Linked DNA regions of Schizosaccharomyces pombe. The protein of the gene in region 1 interacts with the protein of each later gene in a pairwise test. Each region holds a gene or a part of one and is shown in the gene's direction. Other genes may lie near its edges.

Evidence for each region.
Region 2: the proteins of nup211 (region 1) and pre9 interact in a two-hybrid assay, tested with the Schizosaccharomyces pombe proteins (one large-scale study listed by BioGRID).
Region 3: the proteins of nup211 (region 1) and saf4 interact in a two-hybrid assay, tested with the Schizosaccharomyces pombe proteins (one large-scale study listed by BioGRID).
Region 4: the proteins of nup211 (region 1) and rmn1 interact in a two-hybrid assay, tested with the Schizosaccharomyces pombe proteins (one large-scale study listed by BioGRID).

What each region holds. Positions count from the first base shown.
Region 1 is NC_003421.2:1,563,961-1,571,602, forward strand, and holds nup211 (nucleoporin nup211), read left to right. Parts: upstream 1-1,589; 5' UTR 1,590-1,681; coding exon 1,682-7,195; 3' UTR 7,196-7,290; downstream 7,291-7,642. Other genes in the region: 3-hydroxy-3-methylglutaryl-CoA reductase Hmg1, read left to right, coding at 1-1,187. UniProt on the Schizosaccharomyces pombe protein: Functions as a component of the nuclear pore complex (NPC).
Region 2 is NC_003424.3:423,408-426,805, reverse strand, and holds pre9 (proteasome core particle subunit alpha 3), read left to right. Parts: upstream 1-1,566; 5' UTR 1,567-1,582; coding exon 1,583-2,329; 3' UTR 2,330-2,880; downstream 2,881-3,398. Other genes in the region: splicing-associated factor Dre4, read right to left, coding at 1-442, 484-700, 737-776; RhoGEF Gef2, read right to left, coding at 2,903-3,398.
Region 3 is NC_003423.3:1,786,082-1,790,672, reverse strand, and holds saf4 (splicing-associated factor Saf4), read left to right. Parts: upstream 1-1,626; coding exon 1,627-1,887; exon of another isoform or gene 1,888-1,932; coding exon 1,933-2,181; exon of another isoform or gene 2,182-2,236; coding exon 2,237-2,626; 3' UTR 2,627-2,755; coding exon of another isoform or gene 2,756-3,030; 3' UTR 3,031-3,065; downstream 3,066-4,591. Other genes in the region: PPR repeat-containing protein Ppr2, read left to right, coding at 1-1,289; SPOM_SPBC18H10.09 (zf-CHY type zinc finger protein), read right to left, coding at 2,756-3,030, 3,066-4,195, 4,259-4,341; ubiquitin hydrolase Ubp4, read left to right, coding at 4,425-4,532.
Region 4 is NC_003423.3:488,182-492,725, forward strand, and holds rmn1 (MTREC (exosome adaptor) complex RNA-binding subunit Rmn1), read left to right. Parts: upstream 1-1,674; 5' UTR 1,675-1,700; coding exon 1,701-1,730; exon of another isoform or gene 1,731-1,768; coding exon 1,769-1,806; exon of another isoform or gene 1,807-1,896; coding exon 1,897-3,439; intron 3,440-3,493; coding exon 3,494-3,652; 3' UTR 3,653-3,980; downstream 3,981-4,544. Other genes in the region: protein phosphatase regulator Nem2, read left to right, coding at 49-591; idh2 (isocitrate dehydrogenase (NAD+) subunit 2), read right to left, coding at 3,981-4,087, 4,138-4,544.

The sequences.
Region 1 (7,642 bases):
CACTTGAAAGCTCTAATTGCCCCGTCTATCATTACGATTACTCTAGGGTTTTGAATGCATGTTGTGAAAACGTTATAGGTTACATGCCCTTGCCCCTTGGTGTAGCTGGTCCTCTCATTATTGACGGTAAGCCTTTTTATATCCCTATGGCTACTACTGAGGGTGCATTGGTTGCTTCTACTATGCGTGGATGCAAAGCTATTAACGCTGGTGGTGGTGCTGTTACTGTATTGACTCGTGATCAAATGTCCCGTGGACCATGTGTGGCTTTCCCGAATTTGACGCGCGCTGGTCGTGCTAAAATTTGGTTGGATAGCCCTGAAGGCCAAGAGGTTATGAAGAAGGCTTTTAACTCTACTAGCCGTTTTGCTAGACTTCAACATATTAAGACTGCTCTAGCTGGTACTCGTCTTTTCATCCGTTTCTGTACGTCTACCGGTGATGCTATGGGTATGAATATGATTTCCAAAGGTGTTGAGCATGCACTTGTAGTAATGAGCAATGACGCTGGTTTTGATGACATGCAAGTGATCAGTGTATCAGGGAATTATTGTACAGATAAGAAGCCTGCTGCTATTAATTGGATTGATGGTCGTGGTAAAAGTGTTATTGCTGAAGCTATTATTCCTGGTGATGCTGTCAAATCGGTATTGAAAACTACTGTTGAAGATTTGGTTAAATTAAATGTTGACAAAAACCTCATTGGTAGTGCTATGGCTGGCAGCGTTGGAGGATTTAATGCTCATGCTGCTAACATTGTCACGGCAGTATATTTAGCAACTGGTCAAGACCCTGCCCAAAATGTTGAAAGCAGTAATTGTATAACTTTGATGGATAATGTTGATGGTAACCTTCAGCTTAGCGTGTCAATGCCATCCATTGAAGTTGGAACAATTGGTGGTGGAACGGTTTTGGAACCGCAAGGTGCTATGCTTGACTTGCTCGGTGTGCGAGGTGCCCATATGACCTCTCCCGGTGATAATTCTCGTCAACTAGCACGTGTCGTTGCAGCCGCCGTAATGGCTGGTGAACTGTCTTTGTGTTCCGCACTTGCTAGTGGCCATTTAGTTAAATCCCATATCGGACTCAATCGAAGTGCGCTGAATACTCCTGCTATGGACTCTTCTGCCAAGAAACCAGCGACTGATGCTCTAAAATCCGTTAACTCTCGAGTACCGGGACGTTGAGGGAGCAAGCTTGTTTTATAATATTGTCACATACACGATGATGACAAATTTTTTTAATTTTGATCTCCCCTAAAAAGTTACATCTTTGAACTGTTATGCCTCAGGAAAATTAGCTTTAAATTCTTTTCCATTTTTTATATATTCATCTTTTAAAAGAATATGGTATATCCATACAAGTATGTAGTTTACCTAGTGAACGCTGATTTATAGCTTAGGTAAGAAGACGTAAGGCAATGTATATTGCTTATGTCTAGTGACACAAACAAATGGATTATATTATACGGACTTATATTAGTTATCTCAATAAAGAATTTAAATAGATTTTTAATTGTAATGGTTTTATGACTTGAAATTGAATTTATTAGGGTATCAACTACCTCGTCGCTACACACCCATCGACTTACATTGCACCACCATAATAGGTAAGAACGTGTTTCAAACAAAGGTAGCGTCTCTAAACTGAAAAAATAGTTAGAAGCTATTTGTTTGAGGCAATGCACGATTCTTCCTGGACAGAAGCTGATATACTCGGGGTATGCAGTTTTCTAGACATACCAAAGACAAAAATTGATCCTTTACTTCAGGTGGACGCGTTTACATCCATATTAATACCTTTAATTAGTAAAAGCAAAGATTATGAAAGTATAAAAAATGATCGTATAGTTACAGAAGTCAATTACGAGCAACAATTGCGAAATTCGGAGAAGAAACTACTTCAATCAAACGAACGTTACGATTTATTAGAGGATGAGCGCAAGCTTTTAGAGAATGAACTCTCTCAAATCAAAGAATATCTTAGGGAGAAATCCTCTTCATATGACACTGTTTTGCACGATTGCAGTTCTCTCAAAAGTGTAAATGAGGCATTAAAACAAGCTCAGGATCAAAATTTGAAGCAAACTGCTCAACTTCAAAATCTTTTATCAGATAAAGAAAAGGAAGTTGAAAAGAAAATCACTATCATTAAAGATCTAAAGGATGCCCTTGCCAGTTCTACCCATCAAGTTTTGGAGCTTCAACATACACAACAAGAAAAAGCATCTTTGCAGACTAACTATGAGTTTGAGTTGCAAAAATTAACGCAGAAAAATTCGATTTTGGAAAATAATAACACCTGGTTAAGCCGAGAGCTTCAGGGTGTGAACGACAAATTGTTATCTCTTCATCAGGAGGCCTCTTTGGAAAAGTCTCAACTAAGTTCTCAATTATCTGACGCTGTTTTGGAAAAAGATGCGCTACAACGGAAAGTGAGTTCTTTGTCTCAACAGTTTACAGAAAGTAATTTACGATATCAGAATATTGTAGCTGAACTCTCCGAAATGCGAAAGCAATATGAGTTTTCGCAAGTTTCTTTTGAAAAAGAGATTTCTTCACAAAAGCAAATTAGTGAGTTGTGGATGGAGAAATGTGAGGATTGCTCTTTACGGCTCAAAGAGTTGCAGAACTCAAACGGCGAGTTGGAAAAGCTATTGGAAGCTGCACAATCATCTTTTGAAGAACAGCTTGAATCTCATAAGGAAGCAGAAGCTTCCTTGAAATCTCAAATCAATTTTCTAGAGAAAGAGGTATCAAGTTTAGAGTCTCAGCTAAAGTTGGCTAATGAGCGTCTTCGGCATTATGATGAAATAGAAATCTCAGATATGAGTGAATTGAAATACTCAAATTTACTAAATAATAGTATGAAAGGCTTTAAAGGTCAGTCCTCCGTCTCTGACTTGTATTCCGAGCGTTTATACTATAAACAGAAGTATGAGCAAACATGTCAAGAGGTTGAAAGGTTACAACGTAGCTATAACCATGTTATGGAAGAAGCGAATCTTCAGCATCCTTTGGTTAAAGAACAGTTTAAGCGATTTGCTCATATGCAACGGGAAATTGTTGCAATGAGTGAGCAATATCAGAAGTCATTGGAAGACTGTCAGAAAGCCAAGTCCCGTTACGAGCAATTAGAGACACTATTTAAAGATAAATGCACAGAGAATAAGCATTATGAGCAAGAGACCAAAGATTTAGCGCGACAGGTGCAAGTTTTACTTCATGAACTCGATTTGTGTGAGAACGGCATAGTGCTAGGCGTGGATAGTAGAAAGAAGATTAACTCCTATGTTGAAAAATCGCTCACTGAAGATGAAACTGATACGGATCAAATAATTTCAAGCAGGCTAGTTGTATTTCGTAATATTAGAGAATTGCAACAACAAAATCAAAATCTACTGTCTGCAGTTCATGAATTAGCTGATCGTATGGAGAAAGACGAAAAACCTGATCTTGATGGAGCCGAGATTCAAGAAGAAACACTGATAAAAGCTAACGAAACTATTGATCAACTTACTAAAATGTTGGAGGAGGTGAGCGATCAGTTACGCTACTCTTTAAAGGAACGAGACTTTTTTAGATCACTAGTTCAAGAGAATGAAAAACTTTTAGATATGGCGCCTGCAACTCCTAATTCCAAATTGAATACTAATTTAATTGAGCAGACTTCTTACCAGCGTTCGCTTATTCGACTTGAACAGCTAACTAATGAACTGGAGTCCCTTAAGTCAATTTCTCGTAACAAAGAAAAAAAGTTTGAGGAAGCTATCTCATCTCTCCAGCTCGAAAAATCTAATATTCAATTGCAACTTACCTCTTTAACATCTGAACGAAGCTTAGCCCTTGAAAAGCTAAATGATCTGGAAAAATCACTTGTTTTATCTGAAAGAAGTAAAGATGAACTTGATGAAAGCTATAAGTCTTTACAAGAGCAACTTGCTTCTAAGAAAATTGAAGTTCAAAATGTTTCTTCTCAATTATCAATCTGTAATAGCCAGCTTGAACAATCCAATCATATTGTTGATAATTTAAAAAGCGAAAACCTGCTTTTAACTTCCGTCAAGGATAAGTTGAAAGCCGATTTATCTAATTTGGAGTCGAAACTTTCGTCCCTGCAGCAGGATAATTTCCATATGAAAGCTCAAATTGAATCTTCAAATCAAGAGTATACGGCAACAGTGGACTCAATGAATAGTCGAATACTTGAACTTTCTAATGATCTTCGAGTTGCTAATTCAAAGCTATCTGAGTGTTCCGATGATGTTCGTAGACTTACTCTACAAAATTCATTTGATTTGAGGGAGCATCAAACATTGGTGCTTCAACTTCAGTCTAACATCACTGAGTTAAAACAAGACATAACATTGCAACGCACCGTGCGAAATCAGTTAGAAATACAAACCACTGAGTTGAAAGAGCGCTTAAAGTTTATGGAAGAACGGCAGGAGAACTTGCAATCTAAATTAATCGCGGCTAATAAAGACACGACACAAAATCCTGATAATGTTGAAGTCGAGGCTATATCTATTGAACTGGAAAGGACGAAGGAAAAACTTCGCATGGCCGAGCTTGAAAAGAGTAATATTCAACAAAAATACCTCGCTTCAGAAAAAACCTTGGAAATGATGAATGAAACCCATGAGCAGTTTAAGCATCTAGTAGAATCTGAAATTAGCACAAGGGAAGAGAAAATTACGTCCCTTCGCTCTGAGTTGTTGGATCTTAATAAGAGAGTTGAAGTACTAAAAGAAGAGAAAGAGTCTTCGTCCAAGGAACTTGCCAAACAACTTGAGGATGCTGTTCGTGAAAAGGATAGTGCACTTTCTTTCAAAAAAGATTATGAAAAAATTCGTTCAGATGCGGATCGTGTTATTACCTCTTTGAAAGAAGATATTGAAAAAGAAAGATCTCTAATGAAGGAGTGTCATTCTAATTACGAATCAGAGATCGTTAGTCATGGGCGTACCACTCAAAAATTGCGGGATTTACGTACTGAATTTGACGAGGTGAATACGAAATATTTAAAGCTCAAAGCAAATTTTGAACAGCAGCACTCAGGACTTTCAGGTGCTGAAAAGGATTGGAATATTCAGCGGAAAGCCATGGAAGATGAAATTAGCTCCTTGAAAGATTACATTTTGGGACTTGAAAATCAAAATAAACTACTACATTCGCAATTTGATTCTCTTAGTCAACAAATAACTGTTCTTCAACAGAATTCTTCTGAAAATTTAAATATATCTGCCAATTTAGAAGCCGTTCAAGATAACGATTTACGTGAACTTGTTAGCTACTTGAGGCACGAAAAGGAAATAATGGATAATAAATATGAGTTAACAATTCTGGATAATAGAGGTTTGAATCAACAAGTCAAGTCTTTGCAATCCACCGTTGATTCATTGCAACTCGAGCTCAACCGTCTGCAGTCTCTGCCTGTGTCAAATGACCAAACAGATACCCCCATTATCAGCGGAAGTCAAGAAGTTCAGTTACTTTATGAAAGTAATAGTGTCCTTAGAAAGGACAATGATGCTAAACTTGGAAAAATACAAGAGCTGGAGAAAGAGGTTGAAAAACTGAATGCTTCATTGAATCCCTTACAAACTGAAATAAATGAACTTAAGGCAGAAATAGGCGCAAAGACAGCAAGTCTGAACTTAATGAAGGAATACAATTCTCGATGGAAATTAAGATTTCAGTCCGTTTTGAACAAGTATGAGCGTGTTGATCCCACACAGTTAGAGGAGTTAAAGAAAAATTGTGAAGCATTAGAAAAAGAAAAACAAGAGTTGGAAACGAAACTTCAGGAGACAGCAAAAGAAACCGATACATTTAAGCAACAGGTTAATTCTCTAAACGAAGAGGTGGAAAATTTGAAGAAGGAAGTTGAGCAGGCAAACACCAAAAATACTAGATTGGCAGCTGCTTGGAATGAAAAATGTGAAAATTTGAAAAAATCCAGCTTAACAAGATTTGCCCATCTAAAGCAGGAATTGACCAACAAAAACAAGGAGTTAACCTCTAAGAATGCTGAAAATGAAGCAATGCAAAAAGAAATAGAGTCTCTAAAGGATTCCAATCATCAATTACAAGAATCGGCTTCCAGTGATGCTGAACAGATCACGAAGGAACAATTTGAACAACTCAAGTCGGAGAAGGAAAGAACTGAAAAAGAGCTAGCAGATTCTAAGAACGAGCTAGAACACTTGCAATCTGAGGCTGTCGATGCTGACGGTAAAACTGAAATTTCAAATCTTGAAAAAGAAATTCATGAATTACGGTCTGACAAAGAAGGACTTGTGCAACAAGTACAAAACTTGAGTGCGGAATTGGCAGCTTTACGAGAGCATTCACCGACCCAAGGAAGTTTAGAGAATGCTGATGAGATTGCAAGGCTACGTTCACAACTTGAATCTACGAAACAATATTATGAAAAAGAAAAGGAAACCGAAATTTTGGCTGCTCGCTCTGAACTCGTCGCAGAGAAAGAAAAGACAAAGGAAGAGTTAGAAAATCAACTCAACGAAAAGTCACAGAGAATAAAGGAACTTGAGGAACAAGCTCAAAAAAATTCTTCGGAAAATACTCATGACAATATTGATGACATGATTAAGCAGCAGGTTGAAGAAAAGCTTAAAGAAAATTCTGCCAACTTTGATGTTAAGTTGAAGAAGGTGGTAGCTGAGACAGAATTTCGGAGCAAAGCTAAAATATCTGTGTATGAGAAGAAAACTAGGGATCTTCAGAACAAAATTACACAACTTGAAGAAACTATTGAGAATTTGAATAAACAGCTATCCAATCCTGAAAAGACTGATGAATCTACGTCTTCTGTAACAGAAACAAAGCCTGTTACTTCCAAACCAACAGCTAGCAAAGCTGATGTTGGTCAGAATGCTACAGAAGCTTCGTCAGCCAAGAGAGAACCTTCCGGTAAATCTCTGAGTGCAAGACTTCAAGGAACAGGCAAACAAAAAGGTGTTCAACGACCCGCTGTTTCGCGTCCTGTTCCTATGAAACCAGACAGTGGAAAACTCTCAATAACTGGAGCTTCCAAACGAATTGCTACTTCAAAGAATGCTGCCCAAAACGCTAAAGAACTGTCAAGCACTGCTAAATCCGGCTCCCTTAAAAGACAACGTGACGATGCGAACAAAGGAGGATCCAGTTCGAACCAAAAGAAAGCAAAATAGATGTTTTCATATGGTTCATAAATCACTCTTAGGACTATTCATATTTAGTTAACATGATTTATAATAATGACATGAGTAAATTTTGTATTATAAAATTTTTGTCTTATTTGTATTTCTGATTCTTACACAGACTGGTTTTTGCTATTTCTTGATTTTGCAAAGTAAGTACTTTTTCGACTTACTTATTCCATTATTATTAGAGATAAGATAAGAAATGCACGCTAAAAAGTAAATTCACTACTTAAAAATGTTACCACGACTATTTGCAGAAGTACAAATTCAGTCAAAATCTACATATGAGTAAGAGAACAAATGTCAAAACTAGAATAGTTAAATTTAAATGGATTGTTAGTCCATGATAATTACAGAGAATAAAGTGAACTAAAAAACTCGGTCTTAAACAAATTGCGATAACTTTATACAACAAAAAAGAGAAGGACCATCATT
Region 2 (3,398 bases), on another chromosome or scaffold:
TTGTTCCTGTATATCATAGGAAACTGTTTCATCATCCAATTGTTGAAGTTGATACATAATATCTTCCTCACCAAACTCCAACTCTTCAGCGGAGTGTGATTTTTCCTCATCCTCTTCTTCATCAGATTTTTCATAAAATTCTTCAGAATATAAAACGGATTCCTCCGATGATTCTTCTAAACCAGAGGGCTCTTCAATCTCTGTTTGTAAATGCCTAGATTCATGTATTTCTTCGTGGTTGGTTTTACCACTATCAACGTTCTGACTCTGTGAGGAATCTTTACTGATTTGCTTCCGTATCGGAAGACGTAATATCTTCAAGTCTTTACTAATTTCCAAAGGAGGTTCCCAATATGATTCATGGCTTTTTAAATTGTGAAAGAAATACCGATTTTTCTTAGTAAAAACAACCACCCATGAATCATTATTAGGAATTCTTTTTCTAAAAAAAAAGTTAATAACAAAATTTTACGCCTCACATACTTGAATTTTGGTCTGTCCGGTAATTGTTTCCTCAAATCTCGAGAATTTTTGCGCTCTTCAGCATTTTCATTAACAAACAGCTTTTCGCTTGTGTTAAACGCCAAAGAAGCTTGCGAAGCAGTAACAGAAGATGAATGGTTTTTCTCAATGAAACTTGGGCGCTGGTAAGTGCTTTTTTTTAACTCGGCATTCCAGTAATAAGGAATCCCACTGGGTGCTATGAGTTAGCAAATAAACTGCTCATTAAATTTACCTTTATGTTCAGTCCATCCAGGAGGCAAAGGCTGTGACATTAAGATATGTACAATCAAGAAGTTAAGTTCGACACTATGTTAGGTAGTATTCAGTGGGCGTGTGTGTGAGAATAGATAGAACAGTTTTGCAAAATCCAGCTGAATAGTTATGTCAATTACAAAAAAATTTCTACAAACTATTAAAAAAAATCTGTATAAATTGCATAAATTCATAGGTGTAGTTAACATTATTGAATATACTACAAAAACCTCATAACAGCACCGCACGTAGCGTCTTCCCAAGTATTTCCTTTAGAACAAATAAGAAGTTAATGAAATGGTCTACCAAGTACAATATAATAAAACATTTTCGAGAACTTCAATTTTAATATTGTCAATTTACAACAACCCGCATAAATTTACGAGCAATTCATAACTCGTGGTAAATCGTTAAACGGCAGGCTGGAAGTATTTGTAAGCAGCTACATTTTTACACTAGTATTGACTCCTCTGGTTCAAATATTTTTACAAGCAGATTTTAATTATTAGCAACCTACACTGATAACTTTATATCTTGAGGATATGAAAGTACTAAAGGTAAATTGATTATCGTAAAAATAGCTCTCATTTATAAAGACATTTGTTGTACAGCATAGCTTGTAAAAATAAGCGGATTAACAACATACTAATTTAAATCATAATAGATTAATTGTATTAGAAGACAGGTAAAAGTCAGTCCTGTTATAGTAGTGTAGTAAGCACATAAAGAATAAAGCAAGTGTGGTAATCGCACTTCGGTAGACCTCATTAATGTTCGTGATCTAGTGCTTCGCGCATTTTCGAACTTGTCATCAACCAAATTCATTATGTCAAGAAGCTACGATTCTCGCACGACTATTTTTTCACCTGAAGGTCGTTTATACCAGGTTGAATATGCATTGGAAGCGATCAACCATGCTGGCGTTGCTTTAGGGATTGTAGCTAAAGATGGAATTGTTTTAGCTGCTGAAAAGAAGGTTACCAGCAAACTATTAGAACAAGAAGAATCCGCAGAAAAGTTATATCATATAGGAGACAATATGTTATGTGCTGTGGCAGGGCTTACCGCAGATGCAAACATCCTAATTAACTACGCTAGAAGGGTTGGGCAACAATACTTGCAGACTTTTAATGAAGAGATGCCTTGTGAGCAATTAGTTCGTCGCGTTTGTGACCTCAAACAAGGTTATACACAGTATGGTGGGCTACGTCCATTCGGTGTTTCATTCTTATATGCTGGATGGGATCATATTCGTGGATATCAGCTATTCCAATCTAATCCATCTGGAAATTACGGAAGCTGGCAAGCAAATAGTATCGGAGGAAATAGTACTAGTGTTCAAAGCTTAATGCGACAGGAGTATAAGGATGATATAAACTTAGATGAGGCTTCTGCTATGGCCGTGAAATTTTTGAGTAAAACGTTGGACAGTAACTCCCTAACTCATGAAAAAATTGAATTTGCAACAATAACAAAGGATACCACGAAAAACAAAATGGTTTGCAAAATATGGAAGTCAGATGAAATAAATGAAGTGCTCAATAAGTACCAAGAGACCCAGCGGCAATCTTAATATTGCCTTACTCAATTCATTGGGAAAACACTTTAAGTGTATAGCTGTTTTTTATAGCTTTCGTCGTTACCCTTTAATCTCCTTGTAATTAGCTCATGGTTTTTGTAAACAATTTGAAGCAAACTAAGTTCCATCATGAGCCTTATTCCGTCTCAATATAGGCTTGCTTTCTTTTTATCTACGCTAAATCATTATCTTATGAATTCTTATGCCGTTTTAAAAAAGGCTTTTTTCAAGTTTCTTTTATACTTAGACCTTTCTTTCTCATTCCCTTCATAACGTCAATTTCTACTTGAGTACACCATTCCGGCATATTTAAAATTATAGTATTTCCAATGGAATGTCAATGACTCTCATATGTTCTAAACTATATGCTTAGTTTTCATAACTGAAGATTTTAAACGGTGTAGCATATTCCAATTCTATACTATTTATAAAAATAAGAGAAAACTTTTTGATGAGTATTATTAACTTTCACTTACATATTGAAGGATAAAAAAAATAACTATTGATATCTAAAAAAGGAATAGTAAAACAAATAATCTAATAATCGATGTAGTATAGACTAGTTGGCTATATAAATATGTTGGTTTGACAACCTTCCTTAGCGTTTAGCTTGGATTCATACTCTTCAAGAGTCCACTTTGCGGTATCTAGTTCACATTGTTTTCTAATTAAACTGGCTTGAACTGATTGCTTTATAAGCTTAAGATCATGGTTGAAGCGATCATACAACAGAGGGATAGACTTTTTAGAATCTTCATTTAATCGAGTCATTTGAGCCAACCTTGCAAGAGTCAGATGATATTTGCGTCGTAAATCCTCGTATGCCTCTCGTTCTATTTGACCAGGTAAAATTTCCTTAGGGTGTCTTTCCGGCATTTCTTTCATGGCAATTGCTTGGAATTTCGATTCATCTAACTGTTTATCATTATTGGAATTCGCAGGGGAAACCGGAGTCGGCAATTCCTCTACTGTTCCAAAAATGCGATCACTGTGGTATGCAAGGTAATAAACAAGTTCTACAGCATTACTTCCAAACATGGAAGGAGCCAAGGCAATTGCTAGT
Region 3 (4,591 bases), on another chromosome or scaffold:
TTAAAAGGACATTTCCGCGAAGGGCCTTTGTCGATTTGCTCCTAAACCGCTTCTGCTTGCGGGAATTTGCAACCACGTATAGTGTTTCAGTAAGTAATGCGCGGAAATTAGTACGAAAGCGCCTTTTAATCGCTGATGCTTTGAAATTCAAGGAGCAAGTCAACAATCTAAATGAGTTTCGAAATAAAAAAACTAAGTCATCCTTAATAAGAAACGATGGTTTCAAACTGGCTAAAAATGTATCTTCGTTACTTCAAAAAGAGTCTTTAGAGAAAGCATTGCATTTACTGTACGAGAGATCAAATGCCAAGAAGACGGTTGCCTATAACCTTGTACTACAATATCATTTAGCTAAAGGGCATTACAACGCTGCTTGGTCTTTGTACAATGATATGAAAAAGCGCCAACAAAAACCTAGCGATCATACATACTCCATTCTTCTAAAGGGATTTTGCGATGCTATTGAAAAGAATAAGCAAGGAAATTTTTCTAAACTACGTGAATATAGTGAAAAGGTAACAGCTAGTGCTCTCAAGGAGTCTAATAATGTCACATCCAATTTGCATCACATACGAATTATATCCAAGTGTAGTCTAAAGCTTAAAAGTATGGTATTGGTGTCAATGATTATTCCATCCATCAAACAAACATTGGATTTCTATAGTGGATCTCAAATTCTTCGACTTTTGAACGACTTTTCTATGTTCAATCCGGAACAACGTGAAGAAGTGTTAAAGATGGGGACGAATCTTTGGAATTATTTTGTCCTTGAATGCCAAAAGAAAGGAATAGCAGTTGATGAAAGTCTTATTTGTTCCTTTGTGAAACTTCTGGCTACTAGCAACTCGCCTCAAGTGAGAAACGTGGGGTTAAATATTCTTACAAAAGTGATGGGATTGGAATATCAGATTTTCGAAGATTCCAACTTGCGTTATCCTTTACCCCCATATTGCGATTGTACTTCAAGAAGTTTGGTTACAGCATTACAGGTCATTCGTCAAATACAAAACGGTGATTTGTTAGCAAGGTATTGGAAGTATTTTGAGGAAAGTCACAAATTTGATTTAAATCTTCAAGTATATCATGAGAAGCTACGTAACCTTGTTCAGCAGGGCCAAGCAGCTGAATGCTTAAATACCATTAAAAGGATGTCGCATAACGGTCCTTTCCCTACTCAGCAGACATTTTTGATTGTCTTATCATTATGCAAAAGGCCGAAATTTTATAGCTACACGAAAAGCTTCTTAGACTTGGCCAAGAAATTGAACGTCCCCGTTGAAGCAACCTAAAAATATCATCAAGTGTTTAATAATTCATCGATACCTTTTTATGTCATTTATAATTTTCTATTAATTTATAAGAAATGAATTCAAATAATCGTCATGTAATTTATTTATTTGTACATGTTTACCTTGTCCGTTTGAAACTGTAGAATGGAACCCTTATTATTTTAACGTCAATTTAGCAAACGTAATTTAAAATTGTTTGTTGAAAAGCCATGAATTAACTAAGAGTTATAATTATGTTTCTGTTGCATGCCACTGATTTAGCCTGAACTTCACCTAGACGTAGTATTAACTTAGGAACTACTGATTTTGGGCATAAAGAGCTATATACTCACTAAAAATGCAAGGATTTAATATGGGGAAATATATTCCCCCGGAAGGGCCGAATGCTAAAAGAAAATTTGATAAATTACGAAATGTAATTCGGTTTGAAATGCCATTTCCAGTGTGGTGCAACAATTGTGAAAATATCATTCAACAAGGCACTAGATTCAATGCTGTTAAAAAAGAGATTGGCTCATACTATACTACGAAAATATGGTCATTCAGCTTAAAATGTCATTTATGCTCAAACCCTATCGATGTACATACGGATCCTAAGGTACTGGTTTGATTAATTTAACAAATTTGTTACTGACATAAATAGAATACAGAATACATCGTTGCTTCTGGAGGCAGAAGGAAAATTGAACCTCAAGACATCAATGAACGTCCTGCAAAAGCTGAAAACGACGAAAAGGTGCCGTCTGATGCAATTGAAGCGCTGGAAACCCAATTAACTCAGCAAAAGTCAGAAAAGCATAATAGTTCTGTAATAAACTTTATATATGAGAAAAATGAAAGGCTTTGGTCGGATCCTTTCGTTTCTTCTCAGAGGCTGCGAAAACAGTTTCGGGTAAGAAGAATTTGTTTTGCGTTAAAATTTTCATATTAACTAACCCATAACTTAGGAAAGGAAAAAAATTGAAAAAAAGCAAGAAGCTAAAGATCTATCTCTCAAAAACCGTGCAGCGTTGGACATTGATATATTACCACCCTCTTCTTCTGACAAGGATAAGGCATTATTGTTGCTAGATAACGAATTAGGAAAGAATAAATTTATAAGGAAATTAGATTATAGAAGAACATTAATGCCCTCTTCTAGAACATTTTCGACTTTTGCAAAGTTTGCTGAGACTTCATTCGCAAAAAAAGATCCTTTTGCTCGAAAATTTGTCCCTTCCGAGAAGCTAAGGAGCGAGCAAAGGAAATTTCCTACAGAAAATTTAAAGGGAGAGAAAATCCTTGAAGATAATTCGGTTTCTCTCGTCAATTATGAAGTGAGTGATGATGAAGGATAATTATTTTGGTTAAATACGAAGACTTTAAAAGTATCTTCTATCAAAAGATTAACTACTTGTTATTCATTAAATTTTTATACAATATGGGTATCTAATGAAGCAAAAAAATATGGATGTCATGCAACCCAATTAATTACCGTGATGCTTCCTTTTGTACTTCCTTGGATCCTTCCTACTCATGCGAACGCGATCGCGCATTCCTTTTCCTCCCTCCCAGTAGGCACTGGTTTGTTTTTTCACAGTCATATTTCCACAATGGGGGCAAGTTGCATCCTTTTTGTAGAAAGATTCCATGGCACAGTACCCACATATTATTCGATTAGCATGCTCAAATGTATGATTTTGATCAGCGTCATGACATTCATCACATGGATAAACACGATCACAACATGAAAAACGAAACCCTGATTGTTAATTATGAATTTTATAAACGACTTACATCTGAATGATTTTTTGTAATGTTCGCAAGCACCATTATTGGGAAGTGGCAATCCTTTCGTAATGTTTAAGTTTTGTTTTTGCTTCTTTTTTGCGCTCACCTTCCCGCCCATTGAACTTTGTCGTTGTTTTAACAAATGAAATTCGGTATCTTGATGTTCAACCAAGATTCTGTTTTTGCATACTTTACAAAACTGTAGCATGGGCTGCATGGAAGAAATACCTTTAAAGGATGTTATCTGCTCATCAACACATTCCATACAAGAGACCTGACAGTCAATGGGCATCACGTCAACCGGTACACATCCTAAAGTATGGAGGATACCTAAACGGGCATTATTTGGGTGAATCACACCAGGCACCCAAACTAATCTTAGAGTATTACTACACTTATTGCAAACAAGAGAAAATTTTGTAGCAATAGAAATTTCACTTCCATAATGGCACCGAACACACTTTATGACCAAACGTAAAATTGGTGCTTTGAGAGTACCGACATTAGTTAAATGCGGATTCTTCCATTCTAAGCAGTATTCGTTACCCAGAAGCTCTGTGTCTTTGCTCTGAATGTCATGATCGTTACTGTAAGCATCCTGTGGTTCATTAACATTTTGTAGATCATCTTCTTTCCCATCGTTTCCTCCTTTTGAATAAATAATTTTTTTTGGCTTTTCATCATTGAATAACTGTTCAGAGCCAGAGATGGTAGTTTTTGTTTGGGTAGTATTCTGCTTTTGACAGTGATTTTGACCACGCAGTACTTCATAGTCAAGTGTAGTGTTCAAATGAACCCTCTCTGATAGAGGTCCTTCAAGCTTATTTGCCAACGGCTCTAAGTCAGTTGGGGTTTCTGGTTTCTTAGAATCGACTTGTTGAACCATCAACTCACGCTCTTTTGTATTGCATGTCTCAAATGATTTCCAATTTTGTAACAAATAATTAAATAAACTTGTCAAAGTTGTTTTCTGATTTTGAAATGCCGTTTCAACGTACTTATTCATTGCCGTTTGCATGAACTCTTGATTTTTTTCAAGTAATACCGATATTTGAAACGGTTTATCTTTATTTATAACTAAAGTAATCAATCCATGATCACTGGGCAAGGATAAGAAAATCTCATTTCTTGCCTCTCTGGTACTAGTTAATAAAGATGTTTACATTAACTAACCCACAGCTAACCTGCTTAGTACTTACATAACTTCCGGATTAAGCCTTCGCCGGAATACTTGTATCTGCAAGTCCCAATTTGAATCCTTCATAGCTTCAATTGAAACCATAATAACCAAAAAAGGCTATAGTCTTGTAGTATTTGGTTCAATTCAGGTTAAGTCGCCAACACAAATACTCGGTTCTTCCTCGGATGTCCGATGATTATTTCGACAGACTATTTGAATTAGCATTCGTTTATATTAATGAAGATGAAACGATTCAAAGCTGTTCCTTCAGAGGACAACGCTGGCTTGAAGAGGTATGTCTAATTTTTCCGTGCCGTTTATAGTAATGTGCTTCAATTACTAACAGTTTTGA
Region 4 (4,544 bases), on another chromosome or scaffold:
ATCTTTTTATTCTTTTTCCTACGTATTGTTAAGAGTGAATAAAATGCCATGTCCTCTTATGTGCCCAACACCCTGTCCGTATATCACAACTTGTTAATTTTAGAGGCATCGTTTCGGAAAACATACCTACAGCTTCAAGTTCGTCGTCAAAAGTATATGGCTTTCTATGTCTCACTATTGGTGTGGAACTTTTACTTTGGCTATCGCGTCTTTTATCGCATCTCAAAATACTCGTTGATTGATTTGACTTACAAACTTTGTCTTTTATGCGGAATTGTTACACTTTTGCTCTTTTATTTTTCTGGATTGTATCGGACTACAATAGTATATCCATCACGTTATGTTCAACAAGTCAACAAAGCGATGAGGTTTTTTAACATTCGCCTTGTTATAACTCCTGTCCCGTGGTTCCAGGTGAGAAAGCCTTTGGATTGTGGTGTCCATCTTATATTATCAAGCAAACGATTTGACATATTGGTGATCGAAGGTTGGGAAGCTTTTCGTTCTTCATATTTTGCTTCAATACATAGAAAAAACAATAGCATACAGAGTAACGAGTCCTCTGAATCTCCTTCTTCTAAACAGAACTAGATTTACTTATACCCTTATCCTATTTATAAAGGATGCGATCGTTTATTTCCTTTTCAACGTTGTTAATGCTTTTCATGTTTATACTGTTCTAGTATTTGTCATTTTTCATAACGTAAATTTTGATTAAAATTTTCAGCTATTTTTTTTTTTGCTATCCGTTGTTGCTGGCGCCTTTCGCTATATTATTGATCAGTTATTGTCGTTATACTTTTATTACATACTTACCCGATTTGAATTTATTAGGATACTTTTAAGGACATTTCCTTTTATGTTGGGATATGAGATTGCTTTACAGACCCACTGAAATAGGATTTATCGTTGGATAATTAAAAAAAGGATGTTGATGATTCATTACACATCTTGATCATTTACTTGCCTCATCTTAATTGGAAGGGTTTAAATAAAGGCTTAATTGAAAGTTGCTGTCACTTAACTTCCTTATCTTGTTCTGTCAACTTAAACTATTATCTTTCATTCCCGACTTATAATCTTTCTTTTCTTTCTACATCACCTTTTTTTTTAAAAAATGGGTAAAAAGCGTTTTCGCATGTACATAAGCAAAACTTCTTCTCTTCTTATGTAGAGACTTCCTTTTTTTTTAATTTTCAACTTACTCATGCGGACTATACCGGACGTTCATTAGCTCTCTTGACGAGTTAGGTTTTCAAATAATTTAATATAAATGTAATCACTCCACCGTTAAAATTAACTATTTATAAGTGGTGCTAAAATATAAAAAAGTGCATATAGCTAACACGTTTACTCACTGTTGTGCTGACAATTTAATCAATGAAATAATTGGAGACAAGTGAACTCTTTCGAAACTCTCATAATCGTCAGAGTTTGACTTAAAATACATTGTATATTAGTAGTCTAAATACGAGTAATATTATGCAAACCTTCCTATTCCTTATCTAATGTCGACTACTCAGTTAAATTTTATCCCAGCCAATTGCCCTAGCTAAGACATTTGTTATTATTTTGGTATTATGTTTATTCTTTTTGAACTTTCTGGCTAATTGTTAAAGATTTTACCTTATGTGATCTATATTTTCTTACTGGCTCAACCATGCGTAACGCTCCAACAACCAGCACTTTGCTCCATCACAATGCCGTTGTTCTTAGAAGAACATGCTGAGGTAATTTTATTTTTAAGATGCCGAATTAACGCTTTTAGTATTTGAAAAGATATTTAGAACAGGCGTTGGAGCCAATGTATGTAATTTTTTTTGAGTTGCCAATTTGCGTGATTTTTTTTTTTACACGCTAAAAAATTGTTTATCAATATGCTAACGAAATGACTAGTTCTGATGCTGATGCAAGTGTTTTATCAGATTATGCTATGGCATTGTTAAGGCACGATTCTTCTGAAGAAGAAGTTCGCCAGTTATGCTACTCACAACTAGAAGATTTTTTGCGACAGGAGACAATTCCTTTTGTTGATAAAATTTTTGATGTTTTACGTGAAAAATCTTACTTGGAGGGTGCTTCAAATATGCCGTCAACCGGTATGGTGACTGAAGAAGTTTCAAGGTATTCGCCAACTTCATCAATGATCCCTGCCACCAACAGCATGGAAACCAATTTTAATAATTCTTTACCTGCTGTAGGAAAAACAAACACTTTTCCCTCTCAGGTGCCTAATATGTTTGGACCTCCGTTGTACCATCCAGCAGCCACAGCACCTTCTGAATTCATGCCCAGTATTCCTGGGTTTGGAAACTTACCAAATCCTGCAATGCCTCCCATACCATTCTTACCATTTAATCCTGCGGCGCAGCCTCCTTTCCCTCCCCCATTTAAGATGCGAGGTAAAAGAGGATTTGGCATGCGCCATGAGCATAATAGTGAACTTCGTAGGCATTCTCCTGGTAATCGAAGATTTAATCCATACAAAGCGTATCCCCAACCCCATCTGGGACATCGCTTCTCTCGTAACGCTGGCAATGATCCAACAAGTACTGCTTTAGAAGTGCGAAACATTCCGGAAGAGCATTTTAATGAGGAGAACATTAGGTCCTTTTTTTCAAAGTTCGGTGTATTGGAGAAAGTCGAATTAAATCCGACACATCATTCTTGTGTGTTAGAATTCACTTCCCATGAGGCTGCCAACAATGCTTGGTCCTCGCCTGAGCCCATATTTAACAATCGCTTTATTAAAATATTTTGGTATAATCCGTCAAAGGGATTTCACAATCGACCAAAGAAGTTTGCATCCCATAAATCTCCCACTACTTCCGATTCGTCGAATGTAGAGAGTTCTGAAGATGTCGATCCTGCTTCTTTGTTACAAAACGAAGAGTTTCATAAACTGATTGAAGAAAGGCAAAGGCAGCACGAAGAACGTTTAAAACGCATAAATGCTAATAAAAAGGCACTAGAAGAACTTAACCAAAAAAAGCGCGAGCTTGCACAGCAACAATTAAAAGAACAAGAGTTACTGATGCAAAAAATTAAGGAAACTGACCGTTCAGGAAACAAAAGACTCATGTTGTTAGAAACTCAGCATTCTCTTTTGAAGGCTGAGGCTGATTGCTTAGGGTTACCTGTGAGCAACGTTTCTGAAAGCCCAGCGGCATCTAATGGTTCTCATCATCCTTACGCTTCAGGACTTCCCCAGCGAGGTACCAACACATTTTTCCGTGGCAGAGGTCGCGGACGAGGTGATATGTTTGCGTCAATGTCCATCGATAATCGTCCAACTAAGCTTCGTGTAATAAATGTTTCTCCTGAAAAAAATGAAGCTTTGTTGCAATACTTATTCACTGTTGGAGGATATGAGGAAATTACTGAACCTTCAACTACTGAACGTCTTATCAGTTTTCAGAATAGAAATTCCGCTGAAAAGGTATGTAGCTGATTCTTTCTCTGACAGAAAAAATTTCAAGTTAACAAATTTTAGTTTTTTGGTGGAGTTCGGAACGTTGAAAAACTTCAAGAATTGGAGTTGGCGTGGGTGCCAAAAACAGCTGTTACAACTAATACTACATCCATGGAGACTGGCGAATCTAATACAAGCGACAACATGAACATAGAGGTAGAAGAAGGAAGATGGCGCTAGTTTATTTACTTTTACAAAAGTTTTTCAGAGAATGAATTAATGGGCTGCATTGTATGCGGCTGTCATAAAATATAAGCAACTAATTGATTAATCTTATAGAGTGCAATAAGCATTTCAAAAATGGAGATTTCATATTGAAATATTTGTAACTAACATTTCGATCAATTCGGTTTTTTGATACAAAAGAGTTAATGCTTCCGAATTACAACTCAAATCGTTACACAATTCATTAAAAGTGGTAACAAAAATCGGCTAGGAGAGAAAACTCATGATAAGGAAAGAAACATAAATTCAGTGTTCATAGCAAGAAGTAAACAAAATGGGCATGTTACTTCAGTTTAGAAATAATGGCATCGGTATATTGAACATTGTTTGACTTGCCGCCCAAATCCTTGGTGCGAGCATCGGGATTGTTTGCAAGGGTATCAAAGATAGCTAATGGTAATTAGTAAACAGACAAAATCTTAATTTAGTAAAACACATACCTGATTCGATGCGTTTGGCATAATCATTTAAATTCATGTGCTTCAACATCATTACAGAAGATAACAGTAAAGCAGTAGGGTTGGCTAAACCTTTTCCAGCAATATCAGGGGCAGTACCATGAACAGCTTCAAAGATGGAAGCTTGGTTGCCAATGTTTCCGGAAGGAGTCAAACCAAGACCGCCAATTAAACCAGCGCACATATCAGAAACAATATCACCGTATAAATTGGGCATAACCATAACTGTGTTGTTATAAGGGACAGGATCGGTGACAATCTTCAAGCAGGCGTTATCCAAGATTTCCTCCCTAAGCTCGATATCAGGATATTCAGGTGCAAGCTCCTTGGCGCATTCCAAAAATAAACCGTCAGCCATGCGCATAATGGTAGCCTTGTGGACTACGGTG